Linked DNA regions of Neodiprion lecontei. The protein of the gene in region 1 interacts with the protein of each later gene in a pairwise test. Links are inferred from orthologs where the notes say so. Each region holds a gene or a part of one and is shown on either strand. Other genes may lie near its edges.

Region 1 (4,861 bases):
CACAGAGTACCTCTAAGTTGGGCACAATTCAGAACCACAAAAAATTTAAATTAATGTTAAATAAAACTTTATTGTATTTTGAATGGTTTCGAAAATTCTGAGAACTAATTTTTAGTTGAAGATTAGAAGATATGATAATAAGAAACTTCTATAATATCATAACTTTTCGAAATATTTGTGCGAGCTTTCCATAAAATATATATCACTCAGAAAATGGGAAACGTAAATTAAGTTTTAAGTCATTGATATCTCATGATTTTGAATAATCTGTTTGCTTGCATTTTTGTATGAAGCACCAGCGACGTTTATTATGTGTATATTTACGCCCAACCCTACACAGATTCGAAAAACTTCTAAATGACGATTACCTTTTTTGAGCTGCTTACAAGGCATCTCTTTCAGCGATTTCAGTGATCTCTTTCCAACCAGTATAGTGTATGGAGATTTCGACGATGGCTAAGTTAAACGCGGCCTTGGGAACCGTAGTGCCTATTCCAGCATTCAACTCACGCGAAGATTAGATAATTCACCAACGTACAGGATGTTTCAGTAAAATACTGATAACAATCAATGATAAAAGCTTCGAATCTGTTGTTGTTTATTTCTATAGAGATATTTTTGAAACGTACAATTTTTGCTCTGTTAAATAATAGCATCGTGAGATGGATATAGAAAAATTAGTCAACAGGTAGTCCTTACGTAAGTCTTGTCTGTGTAAAATAGATAAATTATAATTTAATGCTGTATTTTCATGAAGACACAATATCATTTTCAATATATATTGTGACATAATATAGTCATACACATAATAAAACCTCACACATTAACGGTAAACAGAAATATGCCAGTAATTCGACAAATATCTAGAGATAGTGACACTTTTGAAACTCGGTGTTTACCTACTCATCGTCAGTCAAAAGTACCTAACTTGTAGTTACGCGTGTGTACATAACATACTATGATGTAGAAAATTAGGCTAATTGTAAAACGGCGTATAACTATACATATTTATACGTATTAAACTGCAGAGGAGAGATGACCGCCCACAACAATGTAGGCCGATATGAGAATTTCATTGAGCCCACGTGAATGCCTACCAAATAATATGCAATGACGTGATAATAACAATAACAGCGAATTCCAAAATCGTTGATTAATTGAATCGCTCGTTGCTTGTCAATAGTGTACATTTGTTATCTCACAAAGTAGAATAGAATTAATGAAATGGGTTAAAAGTAGATGAAACAAATTTCCACTCAACGTCTTAGTATTATTTCTTTTTTTTTTTTTTTTTGTGTTCCGCAAAGACACGATGCTGTGGGTGGGTTTCTTAATGTAAGCACAGCTGCCTGTACGCTTATATTGTACCACCATCGTTGGCCATGAAGTGGCCGGGGGCTCAGCACCAAACGAACTTTCGTATTGGTGCAGAAGGAGAAGAAAATGCTAAGAAACGATTCATTCGTACCTGCGCGACGAGGCCATAAAGCCGTGTATTACTACCTGAATCACCAACACAAACCGGCAACATCGAGTTACTCGGTATAGTTTGCATTGCGGCAGTCAGTAAAGTCCGAGGCTTCAAGCGATCGACATCAATATGCGGATAATGTCGTAATACGTCGCGTAAAAACTAGTATTTGTACTAATGCGGTGTGACTTCTGATCGGAGGACCAAAAATGGCGTTTTCGTTTACCGCAAATTTGTTATTTTAGTTCGCGCCTTTGTAAATATCTCCTACCGCGGTATATCGACCTGTTGAATTTGTTATTGTGTGCGGCAGTGTCGTGACAATTATACGCAAGGTGATTATGGTCAAGTTTCACGATGCATCATGCATATTCATGAACATTATACCTACAGCGCATCGAATTAATCTTCCACCTTAAGTCATTTCTATATTGAGTTTATTGTGTACATACTATTATCACCGCCAACCTGCCGATGCTCACTTGTACGTGTATCCGTGTAACCTACGTATTCATCAGAACACATATGAAAGTCACACCTGGTATGGAGATGAAGAAGCGGAATGACAAGACCGTGTACTGTAAACGGTCCGATACACCCAGTCGGAATGCCGGGGATTTGATATCACAAAAATTAAGCATCGTAGCTTACTCAAAAAATTTGAACAAAAAATTTATTGTACTGGAGAATAATTCGTATTTTGAATCATACTTGTTTATATTTAGGTACTTGTTTCATTGTGCCATGGGCAATAACAGCTTTGCTAATTTCTATGATTATCAATCGCAATTTTCTCACGGTAATAATAGTGGGGAATAGTAACAATTACAAATGCCCGCAAATTTTCTTCGGGAGAATGCCAAATGAATGAGTGTTGGTTGTTCCGACATATTTTGGTGTGCAGAATACGATTATAGCGTCACGTGTTTTTCGGATTGAAAAATTGCATTTTTTAACTCGTATTATCTTCCAAACCGCTCCACAAAGTAATTTATGTTATGTACCAAGACCTATAGAATGACGTACTGTTTAAAAATAATTTTTATCACGCCTATAAATTTTTTTTATTTTCTATTATAACTCCATCTTTATTTACAATCTGTCTGGGTAGGCAATAGACTGAATTATATATACATCATTAAAGAGTGACATGGAGGTACATCTCCAATGATCAGTACCATTAAACGATATTTACATATTTTATATTAATCAGACTATTATCAATTAGTTACATTATTGTGCACCTTCGGAATCAATTTATATTTTTATTAAGATGGAGACTTATATTTTTTGAATCTTGAAGCACTAGAGGTTTGTTTTAGTAGTTTTCTAGCATGACGATTTGGATGTTAGTATAATTTATCCTTGTATCTTTGGGAGAAAGTTTGCACTTCTTGTTTCACTGATGATGTATTTGTATCTTTCCTTACGCCTATAAATAGCCATAAAAGCTATTTTTAGCCCGAACATTTGAAATTTTTAACATTAGTCAAGATCTACATATATTTTTTTCCATCTGAGGTAATTCTAACGTGTGGAGGGTATTTTCATTTGACTCAAATAATGGCAAGTGGTGTACTTTGACATAAGAAAACCACATTTTTAACCCTTAGCATTATTGCAATAGATATGCATGCTATTATAATAACATGTCAAAGTATATCACTTAAGCTGCTATTTGAGTCAAATGGAAAATATAAAATTTTCTGCATGAAATATTTTTTTGTGGCTATTTATAGATGTGACAGAATTTAAGAAAAATTGCACGTCATTCTATAGTTCACAACATAAATTTTTTTCATCATTCTTTATTAAGCAGTTTTGGATATAATACGAGTAAGACAGTGGAATTTTTGCCAAAAATTTATTTATTTATATATTTTGTATCAATGGGAAAAGCCCAACTACAACGATATAAAAACTATAGTGATCAGCGTGTTTGGTCGCCACTAATAGAAACACAATGAGGAACATAATGCTTTAAATTCTTAGATTTAATTGCGTAAAGCTTCAGTTGCATTCAAAATATATATAGATTTCTTCTTAACATAGTAAAGATTTGGCTTGTAAATATCAAGCCCATCAGCGTGTCTGTTACAAAAATCGGCGAGTCGTATTGATGGTGAAACGAGCAAAAAATTGGTATCCGATACAGAATGAAAAAATTAATGATTATGATATCTTAAAGATCTATTTGGAATGTGGAAGTTGAATTTTGATAGCACTTTGCTGCAATCGATAAAGTTGTCGAGAAGCTTGCAAGTGAAAATTACATCCTTTCTCTCTGTCTGTTTTATTTGAGGCCAGATATTTTGATAAGTTCCTGGATAATGCTATATTGGCCAATTTTAACGGCCACATAATGAAGGTATTAGTGGTTAAGTTTCTTTAGATCGTATATGACGTAGTGTAATTTCGGTCTCCAAATCAGAGATCAGAAAGTTAAGACAGGGTAAGTGTATGAGTAATAGAAGCTTCTGAAAGCGTCAAGATTGGTGAATTTCTTTGTAAATCTCTTAATAATGCATATGGTTCTGCAAACTTTAATTTGGATGTGTTCAAAATGAAATTTCAAGGAAAGTTTATTTTGCTTATTGTTATTAAGTTTATTTTTTTATGATGAAGCATTTTTTACTATTGCACCACAAACCATCACCACAACAAAAATGCAATTTTGTGATGGAAATATTTCGAAAGCCTGACGTGATAAAAAAAAAGCCAACACCATCATATTCACCGTACCAGAATACACTGGAAACACACTAACTCGTCTATTTAGCATTTTCTCAAAACAATATTGCAGGGCTATGTTGTAGATTGATTTTATGATCCGCTATGATGTAAGTCTCCTTCCCATTACAAAACTGCGACAACGTTTAATTGTCTGTAATATCTTTTTTTCTTACCGTGGAAGTAATATGTCAAAGTATTTCAGAAATGGAGTAAAATTTATGTTTTCGATTGATTTTTACAAATTTTGGTAAGATTTTGCCTCACTTAATCACTGCGTTACTATTGTAGTGTCGTATAACTAATGAAACTATCTAAGAACTTCATCATTTTTTCGAATGCACAAGTAGAAACTCGCTTCAATTATTTTTACGACTTATTTGACACCACAAAGACATAGCATTTTGCACATATGAATGTATTTTTAAGATGTCTTTGCATGTGCTGTTGCTATAGAAAATATGCATTCAACGATGGAGCATCTTCGACCGGAACAGCTGGTGGGCCTGGTAGCCCGTTCAGCAGAAGGAACAGCAGCCAAAGGAATGGCAATCAAAGGCCATGAGGATTTGTGGGTTGAAATACAGGCTAATACCTTTAGAAATTGGGTTAACGAACATCTGCGGCATCATCCAGCGACTGCTGACAGCCAGGGAGAAG
Region 2 (5,391 bases), on another chromosome or scaffold:
TACATTTGATTTTGAATTTGTTCTGCTTTCAATGAGTTGATGATCATGCTACCTCAAGTTTGCGAATATTGATTATTTAGTTTTATCAACTTTCTAGTAGCGTATTTTGCCCACTTGACCGATGAACTGGCGTAAGGGTTATCAGTTTTCAGATCTTTATGTTGAAATATACCAGGTCTTTTCTTGATGAGTAATGATGCAAGCTTAGAACAAAAAGATTGATTCTCACGAATGTTCAAATGACGAAAAATATCTTCAAACAATATTCTCGCCCATTTCCACGAGTACTGAGGTTTCTCTTGCTGCATGTAGATATCCAAAAAATTAATCAGCCGCTCGTAACTCTCCGTATCCTTTTCACTGTTGGCGATAAATGAAAGCAATTGTTTTTCCTCAATATTTTTGTATAGTAACTTGACATCAAGAAACATGGTCACTAATCCAATTCCATTGCCTTCCATGAATTTAAGACACCCATTCTGAAGAATTTGTTTAGCAAATAGAGCAGATTCAGATTCACCACCTTCAATCATAGTTTTTGTGTACTCAAATATTAATAAATGAAATAGATTACGAGCCTTATTCTTGCGATTCTTATTCAGAGCATCTGACGCCAATTTTAAGCAATTTGCCGAAGGTGCGACTAAAGCAACAGTGAGGTTGATGTCGGGAAACAAGCAATCAAATATTTTCCAAGCTTTATAGGGAAAGTATTCTTTGACGTGCGACTCTTTCCTGACTATCAGTTGCATCAGTATTAGAGCAAAGAATCCAAGTACAGTCCTGAGCTTGTAACTGGCAGAACTATGCATATCGTTATCAGTGGCTTTTAAAAGAATTAAATTCTCTTTCAGCCAGTTGTGAAAAGCAAAAACATTGGCTTTGACGTCACAATCAAGATCATCCACAACAGGATCTTTAATTACGTGTTTGTCAGCCTCAACGGCCGTAGGAATCTGTGCTGTTTCGATCGCTGAATCGAACACATTTTTGAGCAGTAATTCATTACATGTGCCAAGTGGAAACATGAGAAGTACATTTCTGATAATAATGTTAATTTCTTCTGGTTCAATCTTGTCATCTGAGAACCAAAGATTTACAAATCTTACCAAGTGTCCTTCAATATCATTTTCTGGAATTTCTTTCCATACACACAAACTCAACGCCTCGGAGATACAAAATTCATCAGTCCACCCAACCACTGGATCTGGGAACCAACTATTCTAAAAAAAAAAAGGAGAAAACATCGTTATCTTAGTGCAACGCATAAACCGATGTTGTTGAGTTAAATAATACATTGAATAAAGATCCTTGGAGGTATTTGATTGCATGGATTCTTTCTTTCTTTTCCAGAATTTTTCTGCTGTTATTCAAATTACCTCATTACCGGTGTCCAATAATGAAAAAAAAAAAAACACAAGAATTCACATTATAAGCCAATGAGCAAGTCAGTGAACACAGAACACTGTGTTGACCTCGGCCACGGTCTGTGACCTAGGCTAACCATGCTTTTCTACACACTTCAAAATGATCCACATGTCTTGTCGTCTTCAACAATTCTTTGGTCGATGTATCTTTTCAGACCCATAAGATTGCGCAACTTACATATTCCGCAACGATGGCTTCGATATCAGTATGGTTCTTGAATATTTTCCAAAGATCGTCATCAGAACCAGCCTTGCGCAGTTCAGCTTTCGAAAAATCGTCCATGGTTTCAACGACTCTGATCACGGTCTTCAATCATGCAGGCAATTGTCGGCATAAAATTAGTTTTGTTCACAAAATTACGGATGATCCGATTTTGAAGGCTATGTCAACTGGGGGCGAAATCCCAGCGCCGATGGTGATTTTTGACAAAATTTTTTACCAGTAAGCGACCGACCCCCTCCCAAAGACTGTTAAGCACTGCTAATAATAAATGTTCTCGGGAGTTCACTCATCCTTCTCACGACTAAGATGTGAATAGTTCCAAAATATTCTGCCAGATGACCTAGACGTCTAGTTTCCTGCAAACAGAGATGGCTCTCTACTTATTTACGGCAAGTAGATAGACGTTAAAGAAAAAGGCAATTGCCTGAATTCACAATTTTAAAGTTTCATACTGACGCAAAACCTTATGAAACAGAACTTTTCTACAAACTGCAAAATGACGGTAGAAGTGTTGAATGTTTCGAAGCAAATTACAACGACGTCAGTCGAGGTAACCAATCAGGCGCCATTGGTCTGATCGAGGTAACCTCATCACCAAGTATATCAATCTTGCTCAAGGGCTGCTTTTTTGTCACGCAACAGCTGATATCCTCAAGTAATTAAAACCTAATTTTGGTAATTTTTGCTGCTGTAACGTTTATTCTACCTGTGATAAAATAAAATAGAATAAAATAAAAAAACTAAAGCATGTATCAAGTTCGATGAAATTTTGTTAGCCGAGACGCTATTATCTAAGGTATGTAATGAATAAGCAGATAACGATTTCGTTGGTAAACAAACGTGACAAATTTTCATATCGTTAGAAACTACATCCATCTCGATGTTATGATTAATTCTTCGTAATTCCTTGATTGCTAATGACATCATTGTACTTTTAGGTCTTTTAGCCAACCTAAACAGTTAGCTTATGTACTAATTAGATATTCCATGAATCTGAATTAACCTTTTATCTAGGGATCAAAGCTCAAGGATGGGTAACGCAGGCAGCCATGTTCCTGGACATCATAGTAGTAGCGTAGTACGAGAAAGTCATCACAGACATGGCAAGGATCATCCACCTTCCTCCCCTGGAAAAGATGGACAAGCTTTTATTTTTGACAAAAAGCCAAGTCAAAAGCTAGTCTTTCAATCGTCTCACGACGAGGAAGAGCCTTATTACACAAAGGTGTGATTAATAATTTTATCATTTGACAAATAGTTACTTGAAAACTACACTTATTACTGCGCACGGATCTTTGATTTTGATTAAATTTTATGATTATGAACAGCTTTTTTTGAATATGATAGTTATGAACTTTAATAACAAAGTAAAACTCAAATAGATTCCACTTTCACGGCCTCACCTCAGTGTGAAATTCCTTCTAGCAAATTAACTACGTTTATTCTGCTTCTATGTAATACTTGCTTTTCAGTCTGTAAAAGAATATAAAATTAGTATTTCTTTGTGTCCTGACCAAACATAAAACTCAACAAGTTGAATAAAGATACACATGCCATGTATAATCGTGATACCAATTTGGTATGGGCACTGAACCGCTAAGTATTGAACAGGCTGGTCCAGGAGATGGGGACAACTTTGGACCTGGGCGTCCTCGTTCAAATACAGTATCTGAGGGAACCAAAGTTTCCGATAGCAAAGTATTACCGACTGTGTTCAAATGGGAAGGAGGTGGTAAACAAGTATATATCAGTGGTACTTTCACGGAATGGAAAACATTACCAATGGTTAAAAGCCACGGAGATTTTGTGACGATCATCGATTTGCCCGAGGGTGAACATCAATACAAATTCTATGTAGATGGGGAATGGAGACATGATCCAGGATTGGTGAGTTGGAAGACAAATCAATTTTAATATCAATATATATCAAGAGCTGATAGTTGGAATAAAAATTACTACTTTCATAACACGAAGGCTACAAATTATCCTCATCTAAGGCCAGTTTGTCGATGGAATAGATATTAGGAGAGTTGTTTGGAAACAGCTGTGAATTGATTTCTATGTATTGACTCTTCCTAATATTGCAAAATAGCCTTGTTGATATTATATAATACCTGTTTCATTCTTGTGTTCTATTCTGTTAATTTAAAAATTACAGAAAATCGTTGACAACGGTTTGGGATCAAAGAATAACCTTGTCTCAGTGAAACAATCAGATTTCGAGGTCTTCCAAGCGCTGGCAAAAGACAGCGAAGGAATAATTAGCAGTGCTCAGACAGAATACAGTCAAGAGATTCCGCCAAATAAGCCTTGGGAAAAAGTTGCTGGCCCTCCAGTCTTGCCACCACACTTATTGCAAGTTATTTTGAACAAGGACACTCCCATGTCTGTCAGTATTAACATCTAGCCTTTAATACGCATAAAATTTTAGTAAGTTTTCTTTTTTCACTTACGCATATTTATTCGTTCCTAAATTATACCTTTCAGTGTGAACCAACGCTTCTACCTGAGCCAAACCACGTTATGTTGAATCACCTTTATGCCTTGAGCATCAAAGACAGTGTGATGGTTCTTTCGGCCACCCATCGTTATCGCAAAAAATACGTTACAACTCTACTCTACAAGCCTATATAATATTTCTTTTCTTTCTCATTCCTCTGTAAAAAAGTTGCTATAGTTTCGTTTCATTAAAGTATGTTAGTTTCTGTCAAGAAATACTTACAAAAGATTTTTCGCTTACATGTCAAATAACAGAACATTAGTGATTGTCTATAACGACATTTGATTAAAGTGATTACCCTCGATCCTCTTTAGCTTGTAATATATTGTACCTTACGTATCTGTTGAGTATTGTAACTATTATTTATTAAAATCAAAAGTTTCTCGAATTGTTCACGTCGATAATGTAATCCGTAAGTCGATCTTGTGAATTTTGTGAATTAATATTGAAGCATGAAAAATGGTGCATTCGTTTATTGTACAGTAATGTAAGAATATTGTGGGAAATGTATCGACTATTGATAAACAAAAAAGAAACGCGAGAGAAAAATAATAATAAAAAATTATAAGAAAACGTTAATTTACATAGTGACGAAGTTTTCATTATAAATTTTCTCTGATCACCTTATAGTTTAGCGATATTTATTGATTACAATCACATTACACACGCGCATGAAATTTCCAGCAAAAAAATGCATTACGTGAAATAGGTATAACATTTAAAACGATGCATTTGTTACTGTGTTACATGTTATACTCCGTCCAGACTAGACAAGCATTAGTTTTGGGATGCTTCGCGCAACTATGGATCAAACTTCATTTTGAGTGACTTCCGCAGCATAACCATAAGGCTTCTCGTGTCTAGTTTGCAAAAAGTAAGAGCCATTCGTAGAAGGATCGGTGTGAGCTCCCATGTACGCGACATCAGAATCAGAGCATTTTTTCCCCATGTAATGGTCCCAGTCGGAACATCTTGTGGCCGGAAACCCGTTTTTTATAATTATACTCTCGATAAAATATTCGTAAGATCTTCCGTGGCTGCAGGCCTCTGAAATCCATAATTTTTACATCGTCAGTTTTATTCCGGAAATTTTCCATCTAAATCACTACTAATTGCCTCACCCAACAGCTCTGGAATGCAGCAACATCCGGGCTGCACCGCAGTTCCTCCATTTGGATAGAAGTCTGCATGACCTAAGGGCTGGAAGTAGCCCAAAACTCCACCGCAGGAATGAATGATGT

What was found.
Region 2: the proteins of filamin-A (region 1) and 5'-AMP-activated protein kinase subunit beta-1 interact in a two-hybrid assay, tested with the Drosophila melanogaster proteins (2 studies listed by BioGRID). The link is inferred for Neodiprion lecontei from reciprocal best matches to the Drosophila melanogaster genes jbug and alc.

What each region holds. Positions count from the first base shown.
Region 1 is NC_060261.1:13,536,035-13,540,895, forward strand, and holds the start of filamin-A, read left to right. Parts: upstream 1-1,566; 5' UTR 1,567-1,806; intron 1,807-4,657; 5' UTR 4,658-4,662; coding exon 4,663-4,861.
Region 2 is NC_060262.1:36,525,682-36,531,072, reverse strand, and holds 5'-AMP-activated protein kinase subunit beta-1, read left to right. Parts: upstream 1-1,949; 5' UTR 1,950-2,039; intron 2,040-2,045; exon of another isoform or gene 2,046-2,446; intron 2,447-2,664; 5' UTR 2,665-2,680; coding exon 2,681-2,875; intron 2,876-3,261; coding exon 3,262-3,537; intron 3,538-3,808; coding exon 3,809-4,039; intron 4,040-4,137; coding exon 4,138-4,284; 3' UTR 4,285-4,729; downstream 4,730-5,391. Other genes in the region: pancreatic triacylglycerol lipase-like, read right to left, coding at 4,959-5,197, 5,272-5,391.